Linked DNA regions of Drosophila melanogaster. Changing the gene in region 4 together with the main gene of any one other region gives a genetic interaction. Each region holds a gene or a part of one and is shown on either strand. Other genes may lie near its edges.

What was found.
Region 1: of Ilk (region 4) and sli, changing one enhances a phenotype caused by changing the other (phenotypic enhancement), as found in Drosophila melanogaster (one study listed by BioGRID).
Region 2: of Ilk (region 4) and ics, changing one suppresses a phenotype caused by changing the other (phenotypic suppression), as found in Drosophila melanogaster (one study listed by BioGRID).
Region 3: of Ilk (region 4) and parvin, changing one suppresses a phenotype caused by changing the other (phenotypic suppression), as found in Drosophila melanogaster (one study listed by BioGRID).

What each region holds. Positions count from the first base shown.
Region 1 is NT_033778.4:15,918,680-15,923,957, reverse strand, and holds the start of sli (slit), read left to right. Parts: upstream 1-1,839; 5' UTR 1,840-2,319; intron 2,320-5,278. Other genes in the region: bdg (bedraggled), read left to right, coding at 1-184, 247-775.
Region 2 is NT_033779.5:13,638,554-13,644,345, forward strand, and holds ics (icarus), read right to left. Parts: upstream 4,050-5,792; 5' UTR 3,467-4,049; intron 2,720-3,466; exon of another isoform or gene 2,718-2,719; 5' UTR 2,696-2,717; coding exon 2,557-2,695; intron 1,929-2,556; coding exon 1,307-1,928; intron 1,244-1,306; coding exon 1,153-1,243; 3' UTR 894-1,152; downstream 1-893.
Region 3 is NC_004354.4:19,743,758-19,749,008, forward strand, and holds parvin (parvin), read left to right. Parts: upstream 1-2,283; 5' UTR 2,284-2,431; coding exon 2,432-2,552; exon of another isoform or gene 2,553-2,730; intron 2,731-2,884; coding exon 2,885-2,974; intron 2,975-3,053; coding exon 3,054-3,325; intron 3,326-3,492; coding exon 3,493-4,113; 3' UTR 4,114-4,701; downstream 4,702-5,251. Other genes in the region: Rpp20 (ribonuclease P protein subunit p20), read left to right, coding at 772-924, 998-1,348; CG33932 (uncharacterized protein), read left to right, coding at 1,350-1,796; Alr (augmenter of liver regeneration), read left to right, coding at 5,156-5,251.
Region 4 is NT_037436.4:21,214,595-21,219,890, reverse strand, and holds Ilk (integrin linked kinase), read right to left. Parts: upstream 2,991-5,296; 5' UTR 2,828-2,990; coding exon 2,739-2,827; coding exon of another isoform or gene 2,735-2,738; exon of another isoform or gene 2,325-2,734; coding exon 2,159-2,324; intron 2,101-2,158; coding exon 1,555-2,100; intron 1,493-1,554; coding exon 947-1,492; 3' UTR 651-946; downstream 1-650. Other genes in the region: Trmt112 (tRNA methyltransferase subunit 11-2), read left to right, coding at 3,170-3,247, 3,313-3,414, 3,568-3,762; CG10508 (uncharacterized protein), read right to left, coding at 4,108-4,315, 4,390-4,518, 4,779-5,279.

The DNA.
Region 1 (5,278 bases), on a different chromosome or scaffold from region 4:
CATCCGCTCGACAAACGGCGTCCCAAAGTCGTCGTAATGCTTTGGGCCAGACCACGGAGGGCGGCCAACACGATGCACAGAACGATGCTCCGCCAAAGTACACACCACCTCCGTCCTACACAACGGCCACTGGAGCCCGCCTTGCCAAGCTTCTGCGCCAGAGCATTCGCCGCAGCGTAAGAAGGTACATAAAAACCATCCCTTAATATAAACAAAAAGTTATTTACGACCAATTTATCGACACAGGGTTCTCGGAGACTCAAGTCGAACGCGACCCGTGCTCTCCCTCGATGCGGAGTCTGCTTCGCCAGCGGCGCCGCCTGATTACCTAACCATACTGACCAATCCGGCTGGCAGTAGTTTCAACGCGGATCCTTCGCCAGCTTCCAGCAGCAGTCCCGAGTCCATAGAGATCGACCAGCGACCCGTTGGCTACTCCCAACGCTCGCAATCGTTGGGCAGGAAACTGCATCGTTCGGGTGCTTCGACACTGGAGAGGCGGCCCTATACGGCGGAGGATGTGGTGACCATACTGCGCTCCTCGGTGCGACATCGCCAGTCGCAGGGAGGCGGAAATTTGGTCACTGCCAGCACCCTGCCTCGCCCCCCAACCGCCGCCATGTCCACGCACTTGGAGGACGCCTCATTCCGATCCATAGAGAATCTTGTGCTGAATGCCGAGCCACCGGACAGAACGCCCGGTGTGGAGCTGGAGCTCGAATTGGAGGCTGGACAGGCGGAGGAGTGCGCGCGAAATAATACATCTGTGATTTAACTGACTAATATCGTACCGTACATAGCGTAACTCTTATGCGATCCACATATCCGCTTGCTTTCTTAGACTTGATTAGCGCTAGTTATCTAAATACGAATATTACCTTGTAGTTATGCGAATAATAACGAAAACAACTAGTTGGTACTCCCAAGTGTGAGCTCTTTTGATCCCTACAACCGGTATTCCCAGTTCGATCCAACCCACCCCATTTAATTCCATTTCACATATATTTTAGGCTTACGGATCGCGCCTGTCTGCACAGTTGCCCTTAAAATTATCCCAACAATGGAGTAGGCCTCCTACGTGCCCAGCTCTCGAGGGTCAGCTATTTAAGGGAATACGTACTTGGGCCCTAAGCCGATTAACAAACGTGACCAGTTGAATAAAAAAAGTGAAAATAAACGGAAGTCCAGGATGGCGTAGCCAACAAAGGCGCCTAATGAGGCGGGCCAGGAAGTTGCTGCATATTTCGATTAAAATGTCACGCCATTTCTTTTGTTTTCTTTGTGACTTGCATATTCCAAAGGGATTGGCCTGCAAAAAAGTTAATCCGCGGAATTTTTAAATCAGCACGAATTGGCGGTTATTATTTTAATATCTGGCAGCGCTGGTTCAAAGAACCAGTTCAAATGGGTTGAGTCTCGGCTAGAACTTTTGTGAAGTTCACACAATAATTGATACCGTTATTTTTACTTATAATTAGTAATTTTAATGCTAGAAATACATAAATAACAATTGAGACCTATATAAAAGCAAGTGATAAGGGTTCTTATACAAGCCAATGTGTGTAGTACAACTACTCTATAATTTGGGATGATAGTTATAAAGTTTTAAATAAATATATATTTTCATGAAAATATTATCAACACTTTAATAATGAACGAGTTTTTGGACCCTTATTAACCATAATATTTGAAATTTAAGTTGGAACAAGAAACTTTTAAACTGTTGGCGAACGCGGTATTTTTTAGGCCCTTCTTGCCGGGTGAGGTTACTCCTGCATCTGGTAACACTGCTCGGCAGCGAAACAGAAACATAAAAAATTCGAACGGCGACGAGAGCGGTCAGACGCACGCATCACTTTCAATCGCGTCGCGTAGAGCGTCCAAAAAGAATTATAGTATAAACCAAGAGTGAAGATTCCGGTGAGCAAAGAATTTGCAATTGCCAAACTTAAGCAAAAACCATAAAGTGTGCATTGGCAATTGAAGTCGCGCGTTCTTAGCCAATCCACATTTGCACGGCCATTTTAAAGCCAAGTTAAGGCCAAAGTTTTCTGCCGCGCCGTCTTCGTAAGTCGCAGGTCGAAAAGTGCTCAAACGAGATTTCCACTTGAAATTCCTGAATTTCGTTTGTCTGCGCGAATCGCATCGAATCGAATTGAAGCACAAATCGCAGCAGCAGAAAAGCGCAAAAGTCGAATTTAAATTCCGTCTGCAAAGTGCCGAAAATTAGTGTCTTTGTTGTGTTAGTGTTTTGTTTCTTTGTCTGTGTGGGTGTTACGATTACGATTGGATTAGCGGTGTTTTCGCCTGATTAAAACGGTAAGTGTCCTTGCGATAATCCTGCGTGCAAAGTTAGTTAGCTGGTGCCAAGTTCGCTCGCCACTCACACACCTCCACCGCCGCCACTCACAACTTATTTTGCTGCAATTTGCTCTAGTGTTTTGTATTAGCATTTTTATGTCCCGCCTCGCCAAAGTTGACAAACAAAAACGTACACACACACACATACACGCACCGACACGTAAGCACACGCACACAAAGGATTTCATTACATTTTGGGTGGGACGTAACGGTAACGTTGAAGTGTAACGTATAACCCTCCCCTCGTTCTATCTCTTTCCCGCCCAAAGCCCCGAATGCTGTGCTACCGAATTTGTTTTCGCCTTCGCTCAGTTCTGTTTTCTCCTGTTTTTATTTATTTTGATGGCGTATTTTGCCATTCCGCTTTGTTCGTATTGCGTATCCTGTCGCCTGCGCTATCCTTCTACAGTCGCATCTGGCTAGAAGGAACTATCGTGTGCCTCAGTCACATGAAAAATATTACACTTACGTAGGTGATTTGATTTTTAAATGTATAAAGTCCCCTTCAAATTGCTAATTGAAAAATATATAAGTTCATGTACATAATCTTATTATGTCATCAATTAGAACCACAACATCTTTGGTTTCCCATTAGTATTTATAGTAACATTTTCTGAGCCCAGGGTATTCTGGTTTCACTGTACATTTTTCGCTGTCAGCTTTTCTTCCTAGTTTCTGCCAGCATTGAAATGAGTTCGCAATAAATATTGCCCAATGTCAAATAAAAGGGCGATGAGCCAGCCTTTTTCCGCCATGGCCCCTTTCCACCTCGGCCTATCTCCTCCATTCGCTCTAATCTCGGGGGACACTAATGCTTTACGACAATTCCTATGCCGTATGCCGCCCAGTACAAACTTAATGCACACATCAATGGCAAATTAGATATACTCCACAGCAAATGTACTAATAACAATCATCGAGTGCGTGTGCGGGCGGGCTTCCGATTCATCCCATACCATACCATACCATACGATACGATACCATCCCGAACCATTCCATCCCACACATACGTCCTCTCAAGACGATTGTTTTGTTGATTTGGCTGTTACTTCCAATACATTGGCATTTAAGGGGCAGAATTGGGATCCACTTATGTGCCTGCCTTATGTCTCATTTGTCGTCGGGCAAATGGAAATCGTTTTGTTTTTGCCTTGTCAAGTGACAAATTTTCATTGTCTCCCGCCACTAATCGCTTACTTAAAACAAAAAAAAAAACCAAAAAAATGAAGAAGATACCACGCCAAAGACTCCAAACAAGAAATAAGACAAGTGTAAATAAACACTTGAGGAGGAGGGAGCGTGGGATCGGGAGTCACGACTAACCGATATCCTCTGTACAGTGTGGGCGGGGGCATATACGCAATGACATTATCATAAAAGGTGCACATGCCAGAAGTTAAGTCGCGACAACTTTCCGTTATAACTTTCAATAACCTTTGTTGTTTGCTCCAATAAAAGCATTTTAATCGATACTCTTGACTTGTGTCAATCCATTCGGATTTGTTTTTGGTTACTAATGGATGTAATGTATGAAGTTATTGGGGCGGCATAAATTAAGAACTTATTTCCTTTGTGGATTTCACGTTACTAAACAGATGGTGATGTGACGCAAATGAAGTCCTAACAAAAGGATATTTATATATATGGTATTCTTTCGCCTAGCTATTTACCTGTATTTTCATATTTATAAAAATACTAAAAGGCCATTCATATTTTATATGGCGTGTGGTCTAATTACTTATTTTTATGACCTAGAGAAGCAAAGATTATAAATTAGCCGTTAAACATTCCTTTCCTCCATCGTACATACCTTTCGATACCCTGTAAATTCCAGTGTATGTACTTAGAGTACGCACACGTACTTGCCTCTTTTGGTGGCATTGCCCGCGGCACCTTCACTTGGCGCAGCTTGCCTTAATTTCCAGCGGACAAACCACTTTGTTATCGCCACGCCGAGGGCCCTTTAATCTCTGGTAGTCCCTGGTTGGCTGGTCAGACCCACCTCCATCTCCGTCGCCTGCCCATTGATTTACGTCTCTATTTTCCAAATGTAGCGCAATCGATTTAGATTGATTTTGTTTAAACAAACTGCACAGCGCAGCAGAAGCAGCAGCATAAAAGGCACCAGAAAGTGTAATAAATAATTGGAAACGGAATCGTTGGGCTGATTTTAATGCCAGCGTTAATTGCGAGAGCCACCCAATTTCATTTCCATTTCCATGCCCAATCGAAATCCAAATGCCATTCCCCAACCCTCCCCATACCTTCAACATTTTCATGCCGATGTAGCGATGCCCTAGGCCAATTCCAAATCCAAATCCAATTCCTATTCCTATTCCTATTCCATCGATGCTTTGGTAATTAGTTGTGAATTGGATTGGGGATCACATAAAAGTGTTGATTACACACTCCGATGGCTGCGCCCCCAGCCACGCCCCCTTCCCGGCTGGGTGCCAAGTGTTTTGTTTGTGTTTATCTCGTCTTCGACGTGTCTTTTTGGGTTTTTCAGAGGAATTAGGGTTAGCCGTGCGTAGTGAAAGTCGATGGGACTGCAGCAGGTGTTGGGTCCAGCAAATAAAGTTGGTCAGCAGGAAGCGTTCCAATTAATCGCATTTATCGCACGGAATTTCAACTACGCAGCCAATTAATTGGGGCAGTTTGAGATGCCAGATACTAAAGATACAGATACAGAAATTCCCACAGTTAAGCGACTGTAATTGAAATTGCACTTGGACAGACATTCAAATTATACAAATGCCTCTCAGCAAATTTGATTAGCAGCACTGAATTCTGGACAGCGTAGGGAACCCCAAACATAAACCATTTTGTCAATTACAAAAATGCTGAGCATTTTCCTTGCAAGTCATGGTCGGGGGTGACACACAAGCGGGAAACATCTTCGCATAGTTGCAGCAGT
Region 2 (5,792 bases), on a different chromosome or scaffold from region 4:
AATGATGATTATGTTTAATGTTATCTATCATATACGTGTATATCTGCCAACATATAAATCTATTTTTATGTAAGTATCTTAAAGTGCATAGATCATGCATATATGATACTATCGAGTGCTTGTAATTTGCTTTGTTGTAGTCTCATAGGTTACTAGTTTATGTTTTTTGTTTTTGTCTGTGTTTCGTATTTGCATGCTCAAGAACTAATCGTGCAACTACTCACGGAGTCCCGACTGATGTACTACTCCAAGAAAAGACATTTATAGCTTGAAAGCTATATGATATTATTTTTGAAACCCTTGTCTTCGTTTCCATTCGCACATCCAACTTGTATATCGTGACGCATAGCTATGGAATTATCTCAATTCGAATTTACAAGACGTTTCCGTGCTATCATTTTGGAGAAATTTACTGAATAAATGAATTTACATTTTTGTTTGTTTTTCTGCCAGACTTTTCGTAAAAGAACATCTTTAACTCTTGTAAATAAACTCTATAAAAAATATATAAATATAAATACTAAAATATACTTTAAGGAATAAATTAAATTTGAATTGCAGATACAGTGAAGGCGAAATACGTTTACAAAATAATTAAATAACATAAATTGATAAAAAAAAAATGTATTCAATTCAAATTGACAAGTGAAAAAATGCAAAGAAACGAAACAAACTCAAAGCGAACAAAGCAGAACTATGCTTTTAGTTTTTCTCAAACATAGAAAACAAAGAACAAAAACAAAAAACATTTAACTATTAATTTAATTAAAATAAATAAAGAATTAATTAATTGACTTTAAGTAAACTAATTAATTATGATTATGAACAAATTTCTTAAAAAAGAAGAATGAATATGAGAAAAGATAATAAAAACAAGAAAAACCTACTATTTTATAAAATATACAAGCGTGTCTTTATTTAACGATTCTTTTGCGCATAGGATCCGAAATTAAACCAGCAGGAATACATATATGCATCTATTATTTTGTTTTATTTTCATTAGTGAAACTAAGGGTCAAGGCACATTGCAGAAATACGCATTAGTTTAAAAGTACTTATAAATTAGTATACGAAAACGGGTTTGGTTAACAACGAACGAGACGAACACATTTGTAATTCCATGGGATCTTGGGATCTTCTGGTGGAGAATCACTATGCGCGAATTCGAGAGGCCTTCTTGCTTTTGTCAGCTTTGGGTGGCGGCGGTCCACTGCGTCCTGCTTGCAAGTGGCGGTTGTAGATGCTGTCAAGGAAAAGGATCAGATGAATATACATTTATGGATATATGGATCTATGGTGCACTCACATCTTATAGGTCTCCGTTTTGAGGTAGTCGATGACGTGACTAATGCCCAGCAGATATTGCTCGGCGATGGGATTGACCCAGGGATTCTCCTCCATCTTCATGACCGACTTGTTGCTCAGTAGGTCCAACTGGGCGATCTCTGGTGGCAGCACCTGCAGCCTATTGTTTTGAATATGTAGCTCCCGCAGTCGCACCAAATCCCCAACTTCGCGGGGCAATTCCAGAAGATCGTTGTCACGCAATCCGAGTATCTGCAGATTCTTCAGCTGACCCACCTCCTTCGGTATATACTCGAAGTCATTGTCGCCCAGATACAGAGCACGCAGTGTCTCCATACCAAAGAAATTACCAGGCAGGACCTGTTCGTTGAGATTGTTGTAGGACAGGTCGAGCACTTCCAGCACCGGAAAGGCTCCAAAGCCGCGAGGAAGATTTATCAGCCGATTGATGGACACATTGAGGATGCGTAGCTTTGGCATGGACGACAGCGAAACGGGCAGTTCGGTCAGCTGGTTGTTCGAGAGGTTCAGGATCTCCAGATTCAGTAGGTTCGCGATTCCCGGACTGATTACGCTGATCTTGTTGTGGGACAGGGTCAAGCGCGTGATGTTGGACATGTTGACTGCAAAAAAAATTATATTAATAAGAATACTAAACTCTTTAAAATACATATTTTTCCTTTTTCGTGATATCAAAGATTGTTTTTCATAATTGTCCAATGCACTGTGAATTCACCACTGGGTTTAAATGCAAACAGCTGATTGCAGGCAACAAGTATAGACGCCGAATGTTGGAGCGGGACAACAATATAAGCAGAGGCATGCGCAATGTTTTTTTTTTCTCAAAAATTTAATGGTTTTAAGATTAATAATTGTAGTATATTCTAATTTTATGTAAATGAAGTCATAGTTATGGAGTTGTAGTACATTTCCCAGATATGTATACACATCTTATTTGCGGTATTTACAGTGTTTGTTTACGTTCTCTACACTCAAACTTATGCATATTTTGCTGCTGGCGTCATCACAATAAATAAAACTAAGCGACTCCATTTAAAAAGATGCTTAGACTCATTTTAAATGAATATTATTACCACAACATAAATACATACGCTAGAATATTATTAATTTACAATTTTTTTAGCAGCTGGGCGAGGCTCCATTCTGCGTGGAAGTAACCCACCATTATGTTTACTCAGAAGTGCAAAAATCCGTATAATTCCTTCAAGATCCTTTGGTTTTGATACTTACACAGTCCGGGCAACTCCTCGAAGGACGACAGCCCCTTGTCGGCCAAATCCAACTCGGGATTGTGAGTTTCTCGGGCTTCATCCAAAACCTTCTTTGCCTTCGACATCTTTGCGCTCACTGGTATACAAGACTGACTCATTTTCGTTGATTCCTAATACGCCCTAAAAAATACCAGAACAAAATATACATTTCTAATTAATTATTTTGAAGGTTAGTCAATAAATTTTTATTTCTAAAAGCAGAATAGTAAAAGAATTTGGCAAACTAATTCTATGCTTTTTTAAATTTTGTAAGCAATTTTTTTGTAATGTGAGCTATTATATCTGTTATATGTATTTCAGGGCTGCCAGACAAGTAGAAATATGTAATTTTACATCGACAGGAAGCAATGTAAGATATTGTAAATGACTTAATCGAATAATAAGTATTGAGCTCATTTATTAAATAATATTTATATTTATATTATTTAAAAAAAAAGATGTTCATTATTCATTTGTATCTACTTATATATGAATGTGAAATCAAAGCTCACCAAACAATTGTTGATAAAAAGGTACCAACATAAATTTTACGCGCGTTCGATGTATGTTATCATATCTACATGTAGAAAGTGTGTTTACTTGTGATTGGTAAAAACTTAATTGTAACGTGTTTTATTTATTGAATTTATAATAACATGCATTCTTTAATAATATTGATATAATTTTGTTTATTTTTACTTTGCTCGATTAATGAAATATTCAAATGTCTTAAAGGACTTAACATTATTATTATGTATTATGTTAAATTATGTATTAATTTATGTATTAAATTAAAATATAAAATATTGTTGTAAAATGTATTTATTTTTATTTTTATATATTTTTCGTGTAGTTGGTCTAAAACTAAGTAATGAACCACAATTACTTACAGAGTAATTCTAAAACTGTTTTGGCAGCCACTTTCAGTAGCTCTCAAACTGCGCCAACTGCACTTTTTGTTAGCATATGTTTTTCTTCGGTCAGTTTTCAGCACTTTTCATCCACATGAAAACGAATTTAAACGTTTTTTAGGTCACTATGTTACACAAACACTGCACTTGACCTATTTTTGTAGGAAAACACCAAGGCTTTTCATACTGTATGCGTAAAATTGTTGAGTATCTGGACGAATTCGTACTGATTTCTGCAGATTATATGGCACTCACGTTACAGAATGGAACATGGGTTCCTATTAGAATACGTCTCCGCTCTTCGAAATTAATCACGAAAATAGACCCAAAGTGCGGAATGCGTCGTGCGTCGTCCGATCGTCTCGAGAAACTGAGAAGATCTCTCGCAGCGTCAGCAAGATCGATCGATGTGGATGTGGGCGAGTTGGAGGTGATGGGGGATCCGAATAATAGCTGGGGGCTGGTTTTTGCCTTTTTCGATTGTCGCCACTGCCGGCAGACAGGAAAAAATAAAAAACAAATCGAACCCAAACTCAATACCGGGTTTTGTTGATTTTGTTTAAAGTATTTCGCTTTTTCTCCAGCATCTTCACTACAGTGTCGAAACCAGTTTGAATTATATCGAAAAGACAAAAAACAGGCATAACTAAAGCATGAAATCTGTGGTTTGTCGACTTGGAAATAGGCGCTTTGTTGATTAGTTAATTACACAGTTGATTAATATCTTAAATGCAGCCATCTCGTTGACGCATATAAGATTTTAATATGATTTATCACATCTCCATGTGAAGTGAGACATCATGACTTTTTTCGCTATATTTTACGTTCTTGCCTTACTTCTGCTGCTCACACCATATACACATGAAAGTAAACTTCGATATATTAGTGAGTAAGGACACGACTTGGGATAGTAAATATAAAGCTAACCGTTGTAATAAGCTTGCAGGCGCAAAAGTGGAAAGTGGGGACGTTGCATTATAAAACAATCGCCATGTCCTGGCATTACCCATTTAAATCGCGTTTGCAATTCGGCAGCCATTTGCTGTGTGCCTGAATCTCAAAAAGTCTGGGACAATATAAGCTATTTTAAGCGCTTAGAACCGAAAGAAAACAATATAGAAACAGTAATAATAAAGTAAGTCTGTTTCTTATTACTTAGCCACTTAAGAATTTTATACCGTTATAAACTGAAAACTGCAGTGCAATAAGAAATGAGCTTAGAGCACATTTAATAAAATATCAATTCAATATAGTCATGTTGGCTTTTACCCTTTTTAATGCATTTTAGTTTAATTTTCTTTTCTTTTTTAATAGTTTTTATTAGAACTGCAAGCTGAGACATTTCTTCAATTTTATCTATTTGATGGATGCTAGATGCAAATTTTGAAGGGACTCAGATTTCTGGGCTGCAAACATGGCCGATATGATCTCCTTCAGTACAAGCTGCTCGGGGTTTTTCTGCTCTGGCCATTGGCTGTATTTTTAATTACTCTGCGGTGCTCCAGTTGCCGATGCAGTTTTGGATCTCAGAAATACGTAGGAACTAGATGTTTGTGTGGGTGGGGGGGCAACCCCGTTTTTTGGCTTTCGTATTAATTTTCATCCCGCCGGTTGTCGAATCCGCAAAACAGAAAGTTTGTCTTATGCGCCTGCATAATTTGCGTGTTGCACATACCATTTTTTTCGCTTTTTTTTTTTTTTTTTTGGGTTGGGGTAGTTGGCATGATGGCGAGTGCCTTTGCCGTATACACTTCCGCCGTATAAAATATGCAAAACAATGCAAACTCTCGCCTGGCCAGCAAACAACAACAACAACAAGAACAACAGCAACAGCAATGGGAGGGAAATAAAAACTTTCCCTGGCCCAAAAATTAATTTTTGTTTTAGATGGCGCGCAGATTTTTCGGCTGCATTTTTGGCTGCACTGCTAATGCTGCGGCACAGTCGCCACCAAACGACCGCCGGCCACTGTCCGTAATTTTTGTTTTAATTAACTTTTTGTTTGCCTTTTTTTCCTGCTGACAAACTTTTGCAGCTCGGCGCAAATTGTGCTAATTTTGAAATGGTGGCCAAAATGTTTGGAAATACATAGTTTATGCTCAGTTCCACTCATATTAATATATGATTGCAATTAAGGCATTGTATTGTATTGTGTAGCAAAATCAAAGCCTGAGAAGTGTCCTTTGTTAGGTAATCGATTCTTTCATAAAATTATATTGAACTTTGCAGTTCGATTTTCTATGTAAAATTCTAACCGCAATAGCGACCAAAAACCATAAATTCTTCATTGCCAAGCTCGCTTAAA
Region 3 (5,251 bases), on a different chromosome or scaffold from region 4:
GGACGCGCTGTGCAGGGGGTTTGATCTGATCTGATTTGAGTTGAGTTTTCTTTCTGGCTACAAAATAGTGGCTACGTTAAGGGGACTGTTTCTGTTCGCTTTCCGTTGCAACCCCTCGGTGGCGGGCGGTGACTTATGTAACCCTGGGGATCCGTACGCCCATTCGGTTACGGATCCATTTGGTGGGGGCCAACTTACGCAGGAAGATGCAGACCCGGCCCGCCCCTCATCAAACAACTCACCCCGACAGACATGACTACCCCGAGTGCATCAGCGAGTTATGTAACTTGTACTTTTTTCTTTCTTCTTTTCCTGCTGCCCGAGGAATTCGCCAGCGGAAGTGTGTAAGTGCGCTAGTGTATGTGTGTGTGTGTGCGAGTGTTGCGATTTGGAGTGGCGAAGTGGCGCCGCGCGGCCAAGTTAATTCTTGCTTTGGATGGCATCGATCGGTGCCTTGGCTTACGGTCTGGTGTACTTGATAAGGTGCCAAAACGAAAAACATACCTTTGTTGTTACGAGAGTACGACGAAAAATTTTCAACTGGCGAGAATCTCACGAGCCTGGCGATAGCTATAGCGATGGGCTGGCTCAAAACTATCGAGAGCTGTCACGGTGACAGCTAGAGCCAGGCTGCCAGATCGCTCAGCTATTGCCTAGTGTTCGCTAGAGTTGGCCAGTGTTGGCCAGCGTGCGATTCGGAATGGAGTCGCGAGTCCGAAACTGCGACACGCGCAGGTAAATGGAAAACACAAGTCGCCTCCTCCGCCGCTGATGATGGGAAGCAATTATCCCGAGCACGGGACCAAGCCGAGATCCGCCAAATACCACAAACAACAGAACCACCGAGTGGTGCGCAAGCAGCCGCCGCGTCCCGCTGTTAGCGACCGCCACAACATCTACATCACCAGCAAGACAGACTTTAAGGCAAGTAGAACTGAACTCATGCTGGATGGTGAATCGCCCATGTGCTAAGTGACAGAGTCCATCTCCTTGACAGGCCCAGCAGCGCCGCTGCGAGGAGCTGATTAACTCCGGCGCCCACGAGATCTTTCTGCATTGCATGGGCTTCTCCGTAACCCGCGGCCTCAATATCGCCCTACGCCTCGTCCAGAATTCTGACGGCGCCCTTAGCTACGCCATCAACACCTCCACCGTTCAGCTGGTGGACGAACTGCACCCGCTGTGCGATGCCGAGGACATAACCTTCCGCCAGCGCAACAACTCGGCCCTGCACATCAAGATCCTCAATAACAGTCTCTTCGACATCGCCGTGCCGCAACCGTCGCAGTCCCAGACGCAAGCCCAGTCCCTGGGCCAGTTCCGAGGCAAGGCGAAGGCCAGGCAGTAGCATGTTCAAACTCTCGGAGCTGGTGCGCTGGCTGGGGCTCACCGAGTTCGAGATTCTGGTCAATCTGTGCGGCCTGCTGGTGTTCACCATCACGCTGACCGTCAAGCTCCATCTGCAGGCCAGGGCCGGACCCGGTGGCATACTCCCGGAGCCCATGGGCGACTGGTTCACCGTCTTCAGCCCCCTGTTCTTCATCGACATCTGCAACGCGTACTTTTGCGTCATTGTGGGCATCCGCATGTACCTGGACTCTAACAACAAGCGCAAAGCCCTGCATCGCTTCATGTGGAGCACGTATTTCCTGGTGCTCATCGCCATCTTCAAGTACCTGCTCTGCCTGAAGCTATCCAGCAAGACGGGCCTCGAGTATTCGGAGGTCTTCTCGCCGATCTTCGTTCTGTTGCAGCTCGTGGCTGTGCGCGCCTGCCAGTTGCCCAACTCCATCTAAACCATAGACGTAGTATAGCCCTAGTTCCGTATTATACATATATGTAACTATTCTGAAAGCCTTTAAATCATTGGATTGGTAGTTATCTGTATACGCAATGTGGTACAATAATTTTTAAGCGGTACGAAATTTATCTTTCTGGATATAGCATATCTAATATATACGAATTATATCTGATCTGATTCGGTATGAAGGACATACATACATACATATGTTGTTGTGCTTTTTAATCAATGATCTAATGATCTACGCATTATAATTTTTTTAAAATTTCCAACAATTTAATTTGATGTACAAATTCAAAAACTATTAAGCTGATATGAATTTCTTCTAGCTGTTGTTGTCAAAAGCCACATTTTTTTTAAATTATAAATGAAAAATAACATTTAAGCTCATTGTTTTAATTTAATCTAAGGTCTTTTTAAACAATTTTTATAATTGGCAATTTAGTTTTTATTCGATTTTTTTGGAAGTTTCTCTTGAGTCCGAACGCCAGTGTTGGACAACATGTGTGGTGGGCCTGCGATCAGGTGGCAGCCCCAAGGGAAACTGATTGCTCAGCTCCGCCCGAAACGAATCGAAACAATAACACAAACTGTTCACTTAGTCCGGAATTCTTGGAATCCAGCAGCACCATGTCCACACTGAACCGCCCTAAATCCCCGCACACGCCCACCGCCATTAAAAAGGGCGAGAAGGAGGACAGCTTCTGGGACAAGTTCAGCACTTTGGGCCGCAAACGCGGCACCCGCGAAGGTAAGTCCACTTGATGATTGGAGCTCTCCAGATGGCTATTGTCGGCCAGGAATTGATGGGTATCCCAGAGTATTCCATTCTTGGACCCCTGAACCTCCGAAAAGTGGCCCAAAATGACCCAATGGATCCTCCCCCTGCGCACTGGAAGCTCTTCTGGGAACAGATGTGCGGATGCGCTGATTAATCAGAACATTGCGTCACTGTTGACCCACACAAGCAAACGGCGCTGATAATCGAGAGTGTGTGCGTTTGTGTGAGATGGCCTTGTGTCGTCACCGTTTTTGTTTACCTTGTTGATACCCTAAATACGCATCCGCTTGCTCCATTTGCAGTGAAGAAGGTCCAAGAGGAGGGCAAGTACGCCATCGACTCGCCTGGATCGCCCAGCCAGTATGACATCCCGCCGGAGGACTATGCCCTGCGTAAGTGCATTCGTTTTGAAGGGGCATCTCCTCGTATACCCATCGCATTTCCCACAACTCATCACATTTGATCCTACAGGCGAGCACGAACAGCGCGCCGTCATCGATCCACAGTCCATCAGTGATCCCCAGGTGATAAAGCTGCAGCGCATCCTCGTCGACTGGATCAACGACGAGCTGGCCGAGCAGCGCATAATTGTTCAGCACCTGGAAGAGGACATGTATGACGGCCAGGTGCTGCACAAGCTGTGGGAGAAGCTCACCGGCAAGAAGCTGGACGTTCCTGAGGTCACCCAGTCAGAGCAGGGCCAGCACGAGAAGCTCAACATCGTCCTGAAGGCCGTCAACCATGTAAGTAGTAGTAGTTTATGTTTTGCAGGATTTAAAAATCGGAGTTACCAACATTTAATTATTTATCCATTCTTAAAGTCGAATAGAATAATTTTTATTCGATTTACAATTAACATTCCCTTTTCTCGCGATATAAGAATAAATTTTATCCTTGCCCACACCCACAGACACTCGGCTTTCACCAAAAGATTCCCAAGTGGTCGGTGGCCAGCGTGCACTCGAAGAACATTGTGGCCATATTACATCTGCTGGTGGCACTGGTGCGTCACTTCCGGGCGCCCGTTCGCCTGCCAGAGAACGTGTTCGTGACCGTCGTGATTGCGGAGAAGAATGCGGGCGTGCTGAACGCGCAGAAGTTCCAGGAGCAGATAACGTCCGAGTACGACGACCTGGGCATGCGCTGCGAAAAGGACGCCTTCGACACGCTGATCGACTGTGCGCCGGACAAGCTGGCCGTGGTGAAGAAGTCCTTGATCACGTTCGTGAACAAGCACCTGGCCAAGCTGAACTTTGAGATCAGCGATCTGAACACGGACTTTCGCGACGGCGTATACCTGTGCCTGCTGATGGGCCTGCTCGGTGGATTCTTTGTGCCGCTGCACGAGTTCCATTTGACGCCGCAGGACGTGGATCAGATGGTCAGCAACGTGGCCTTCGCCTTCGACCTGATGCAGGACGTGGGCCTGCCCAAACCAAAGGCGCGGCCGGAGGACATCGTGAACATGGACCTCAAGTCCACCCTGCGCGTCCTATACAGCCTGTTCACCATGTTCAGGGACTTCGCCTGAGTGAAACCCGGATGGAACGAGCCAGCGGGTTGCAGGAGCAACAAGCGGCGCCAATTTTACATTTTATATTAACTTTTTGATAGTGTTTACACGCCTAATTTATGTGCGTTCTCGAAACTGATTGTAGGCGATGCAGCGGTTAAAGCTTACTGATCCTAACTCTCAAAACCACAACTAAATGCTGCGTCGCGTATAATCAGCCCAAGGAATGTTTATATATATATATATATATTTATGTGTCGTACGTCTAACCACTGCGATCTGCTCCAGATTCAGATTGCTCGGAACAGGAAGGAGCAGAGCAGAGCAGAGCTAACCCAAACCCAAAATCCGGCGGCCAGTTGTTAACTTGTCTTACTCACGTGCCAGACGTTGTAGTTGTTACTAAGTGAATTTATTGTATTAATACATTATTTGAACACAATAACCGAGATTGTGCCTTTAGATCACACAGAGCTTTTGCAAATTATGTCACAGATCAGATTTTAACGCTGTAAATGTAGAAGTTTACGGAAAAGTCTTAAAAAAAAATTTTATTGTGTACGTTAAAAATTTGGATCAGAAAAATCAATAAATATTGCCAATAGCATATGTGTTATTCTATTTTAAACAGTTCCAAGGCGCAAAATTTATCTGGGGCTGCAGCACTCACAAACGCCAGCTTCCATCCTATTCACATGTAAGTTCTTTCGAGCGTCTCGAATTGATTGAGAAACAAACCTTAGTAATTTTCTGAACGCTGTGCTATTTGAATTGTCGCGGTTGCGCGCGCAACTCGCAACGGTCTGGTATCGATCACAGCTGCGAGCAGGCTGCCAGATCGCTTCCCGTTCGGGAACGATTTCGCATCGATTTTCGATTGCTGGCCGGTATAATTTGAAAATGTTACTTTGCTGACCGGATTTTGGTCCTTGGCCAGATGTTGGCCATGAATCTAAAAGCCAGTATTTAGTAACTTGCGTTGATTGCAGCCGCTTAACTAAGCCGCTTAGCCAGATATGTCCTAATGTTATGTGTTTCGTTTCGAAACAAGGTGGCAACCATGCGCATGCTTTTTATGATTTTCACAATAGCCGAGCGAAGTTTCAAGATTCTAGAACTACCCACCACACCAACGCTTCTGCTGCGCCGCCAGTCC
Region 4 (5,296 bases):
AAAAAATATGATTCATCCTAGTATGTAAATCATAATTTGCCAAATATTTTCGATATTTAATGACACAAAAAATAACAAAATTATCGTTTAGAACAACAAAATATTATAAGCTAAAATAAATAAAAAGAAATCACAAGTACCTTGTCTAATATAATTTAAGAGCTTTAAACATCAATTTAGAAAAGAAAATAAAACAACATTAAAAGATGATTTTAAATAATATAAAGTACGTTAGCAAAACAAAATCTTAAGGATGATAAAAAGTGTCACTGGCAAATCAGCCAATAACTAATACCACACTTTCCTTAAGCCTATAAATGAAAACATATTGGATAATAAATATAAATTATTTCGAGCAAATACAACAAATTTGCGCCATTCTCGCCGCGAGTTTCTCACGCCGGCGCGCTCTTCTGAAGCGCCGAGTTTGCTCTGCCCACGCGAGCTGCACACAATCGCGTGCTGAAATGAAAACCAGGTCAGGGCCGCCGTGCTCACGTTACCCGACCCGCTGCGCTGATGCATTGCCACCCACTCCGGCGGAAAGCTCCCGACTTGTTTGCTGCTCAGCGAATAAGCTCTGTGGACTAAAGCCCTCGTAAGTGGTTCCGCATTTGCTTTGGTACACAATCAATTTGATCGATTTGATTAATTAGTAACAAATATATTTCTGTATAAATACGATCATAATGGTTATTGAACTTAAAAAGTAAAAAATCGAGCACCCGCACTAAACATCGACGGAAAATCATAAGTAGAGAACAGTGAGACACAGAAACATAAACTCTAGACAGAGCAGTTGCACTTGCTTTGCCATTTCGGTACGGTTTTCGGTTAGGCTCAGTTAGACAAAGGTAACACAAAGTAGTAATTACAATTAGTTGGCAAATCTAAGGTTTCTCAAGGCACATTTTGGCTTGGCATTTATTGAATTTGCCCCTCTCCTTCAGCGGCGCATCTTCTCCAGAATGGGAACCACCATGTCGAACTTGGGCCGCTTGCCGGGATCCTCGTTCATGCAGATTGAAATCAGCTTGGCCATGTGCGTCGATGTGCCTGGCGGAATCTTGACCCGCAGACCTTCCAACGCAATTTTCATGCCGCACTCCATGGGCGACCACTCGGCGAAGGGTACCTCGCGCGTAGTCAGCTCCCAAATAAGAATAGCAAAGCTCCACATGTCACAGGCCTCCCAGTTTCGATCCGCCTGCTTGCGCTGCAATGTTTCCGGCGACATCCAAGCCGGTTGATAGATGCGTCCCTTCTCTTGGAAAGAGAATTTGGCATCGCCCATGTTGATTCTCGCCGTCAGATCATCGTCGATCATCACGTGATGACTGTTCAGGTGATATGTTGGAATAATGCGCTCCAGCGAGTGCAGGAAAGCCATTCCTCTCGCAACATCCAAGGCAAAGCTTACCGCCTGGCTGGTGTCCACCACGACGCCAGTTGCTCCATGCAGCAGGCTAAACAGCGAAGAACGTGGCATAAACTAAAGAAAATAGAATGGTTACCTTATACGGTCATTTCTGAAGTTATTTAAATTCAACGCACCTGACTAATTGTCACCAGATTGGGTGGCGAATTGCATGCTCCAATAATAGGCAAAATGTTAGGGTGCGAAAAGATGCGGAGCTTGGGAAACTCCTCGTTAAAATCTCGCGATATACGAGGCGTGCACTGACGCACGGCCAGGATCTTAGCTACCACATCGTTCTTTTGCCAGCGTCCGCGCCAAGTTTCTCCTGATGGCGTCACCGACAGCTTGGTATGCAGGTCTAGGTCTCCCATACTGATTCCCTTGAAACGGGACAAAGTAGCATCCCGGGATCTCGTCTTCAATCCCTGCCAGCTTTGTTCCTTGAAGCTGATAACCTTAACCTCTCTGCCGCTCTTTTCTACAAGATCCTGAAGCCTCTTGGCCAGACTGGGTTTGGCCTTTTCAAGAGGTGTGTGCCCGTCCTTGTTTGCGATTCCCACCTGGGCTCCCGCATTAAGCAGATCCTCGCAGATCATGTCATAGCCCCAAAAACAGGCGTAGTGCAGGGGGGTGTTTCCATGCTCGTTTACCGCATTCACATCGCTGCGCTCTTTTATCAACTGTAGAGGCAGATAAGTTCTTAAATAAGTTACCTAGCTGGTTTCTGTTTTATCTCACCATCTGGACCACGTCGCGGTGGCCATGAGCTGCCGCTAAATGGAGTGGGATGTCGTCGCCCATATTGGTGGCGTTCACACGCGAACCGCGCTGCAACAGAGTCTCCACAAGCTTGGCGTGGCCCTCTTTAGCCACCCAATGCAACGGGCTGAAGCCATGGTCGTCTCTAAAGTGTACGAATTTATTTGTTTTATTTATTTTAATTATGGTGGAATTTGAGCATTATAGACCTTATATACTTATGCTCTTAGAGTTAGGTATGGTCCTTTTTAAAGGATTATAAGACTAATTATAAGTAAAGAACAATATAAACATGGCAAGCGGGTTTTATGCTCGCGATATGCACACAGGCAAATATGAACATACGTATACTTATATATTTGATTCGTCTGTTTACACAACACAAGAATAAATCATGACGTCACTTAGACTTGAAAGACCCTCGAAATCTTGGGCGTATTTAGGCGATGACTAAGTAAACGTTCCTGGTAGAGGGGGTTGCTACTTGAGGGCTTAACTTTCTAAGTGCACTATAAAGCAACTAGAAAGTGATGGAGTTAGTTGCCTCTATTGGATTTACCCCAAATTGTTGTCGTGCTCCGTTTCATCCAACCAGAGGCGCACTTGAATCGAGTTGCCCTCGCGGCACCAGTGGAATATGTCCTCCATTTTTACTCCTCACTCCTTTATTCCGCTCGCAGTCACTGATATTATAGGTTTTCCAACCTAATTTACATCTAGAAACAGATTTAAACGCTTAAAATGCGACAGTTGTGAGAATTCCAATTAAAATTTGTGCAGTGTGGACGTTTTAAATATTTAACACACTGCTCGCGTTGCCAACTGCTGCAAAACATCGACAAGTGTGTATCGTGGTATCGATGACATACACCAATTGTGAATGTTTAAAGCAAGAAGAAGAAGGAATACAACGTGCACCGCAACTATTATTTAAAAACATTGTTGTTTACCTCATCTCTTTGTATTAATTAAACCATTACAAGCCCGAAAATGAAACTCAGCACATACAACTTCTTGACCTCCGTGGCCATCAAGGGCGTCAAAGTGGGATTTCCCCTGAAACTGACGGTGAGTTCCGGTGTCCCAAGTCCTGGCTATTGATTGTTTCACGGTCTATTTGTTTTTGCATTTAGATTAACAAAAAGGAAGTGGTGGAGAGCGAATTTAATCCAACTTTTGTGGAGAGAATCCTTCCCAAGCTGGACTGGTCAGCGGTCTATGGAGCTGCTCAGGTGGTAAGTGATAGAATGGTTCTAAAAGAACCATAGAATGGTTCTAAATAGTGTTACTGATTTCAAATTTACTGGTTTCAAATATTTTTAATCAGTTTTAAACTATTAAAACCTGTTATTTTTTATATTCGTTAATAATTGGAATTTGTTTTTTAGGCGGAACTCACAGAAGACATTCCTGCCGTTCAGCCTGAAAACATTGTGGAGAATGAACTGCTTTTGCAGAAGCTTCACCATCTGCTCTTCGAGATCGACGTGCTCGAGGGTCAACTGGAGTGCCCGGAGACAGGTCGTGTGTTTCCCATCAGCGATGGTATACCAAACATGCTCCTTAACGAGGACGAGGTCTAGATTACACCCATGTGCTTTTTGTACCATAATCCCCATAATCCCCTTTCTCCAGACGCGCATTAATATTAAATAAGTTTGTTAGTTTTAAAGTTTGTTTATTTACGAGTTACTAAAAACAATTGGAGCTTGGATGGAATGTGACTTCGTTTTTTTTTTTTTTTTTTTTTTTTTTTGTTGAGTCTACGTACTCGTGTGGTATTTGGTAGGTGTTTAAGGATAAGAGCAAAAAACACTACGACATATATAAATCGTAAGTCTGAACATGTGGAGGGTGGTGCTTGGCTACTAAGATTCATCTTCACTTCTTTGGCACTCTGGGGGAGGTTCCAGATGAGATACTCCCGCCTAGTTGCATTTGATGTTGGCGCTCTTGTTGCTGCCTTGGGCGTAGATGCTGCCCTTCGCCAATCCGGACTGGGGTCCTTTGCAGAGTTCCGATTTCCCACCCCTTGGCTTATAGGTGCGATCTGTGAGAAGACTAGCATTAGGTCCTTGAGTGATCTGCTTTTGAAGAAGCTTCGTGTTGGGTCCATTCCAGGTGACATAATCGGCTCTGAAAATAATTTTAATTATATTCATAGATGAGTCTTTGTTTTTATTACTTCGACATTAAGTTGAACTACTTACAGCAAAAGATTTTCATCTGCACCCTTGCTTAGCTGGGAATTGGGTCCCAAACTGGCCATTCGTTCGATAATAGATTGAAATTCAGCTGATTCCGAATTATGCGAATTTCCAAGGGAGTGCTGACGATGTCTGTTGAGAATTGGTTAAATTTGTATAAAAGTTCTTTTTATATTAAACTAAAATATTTCAAAGATTTAATATTTTATATTGAGCTTAAGGCATGCCGAAAGAATATAGTTAACAGGTTCAAAAATAATATCTCAAAAACGGATTTCCCGATACTATCCATGCGAACTCCTTGAAAAACTCATGCGCAAAACGATTGATTTTACTTAGCGAAACGGTAAAAAAACGGTTATCGGAACGGTTTTTGGTTTTAGCGGGCATACTTCAGTGAATCGGTTTTGGTGCGAGCACGACTTTCGAAAGCTGGCCTCCTCGCGATGGATGAGGAGTTGGACTGGGCCGACGAGACCAGCGATGAGGACGTCATTGATGCGGAGTAGGAGGAGTAGGAGCTAGCATTTGAGGAGCCATGCAGGTAGCCGTCGATGCTGTAGTTATTGGTATCGCTCTGGTGGCCAAAATGGTTATGGCCGCTCTTGGCCAAAATGCTCTTGGTGGTCAGGCGTTCGTAGCTTTGCTGGAAGATGCGGGGTGATTGTGGGGGTGAGGCATATGAATGCGATGAGGAAGCACTAGAGATGGATGACAGATGGGTCTCCAGCTTCATCTCCTCCGCTGTGGGCGTTGGTGTGGGCGTAGCCTGTGCCAAAATGATCTGGGTGGTGAACGTTGATGGAGTGGTGACATTGATCGATGGAAGAATGTGGCGCTTGTGCGGCGGCTTCGGCTTGGATGAAGTGGTGGGCTCCACCACGGCGGGCAGGCTGGATGATCAAGTGGC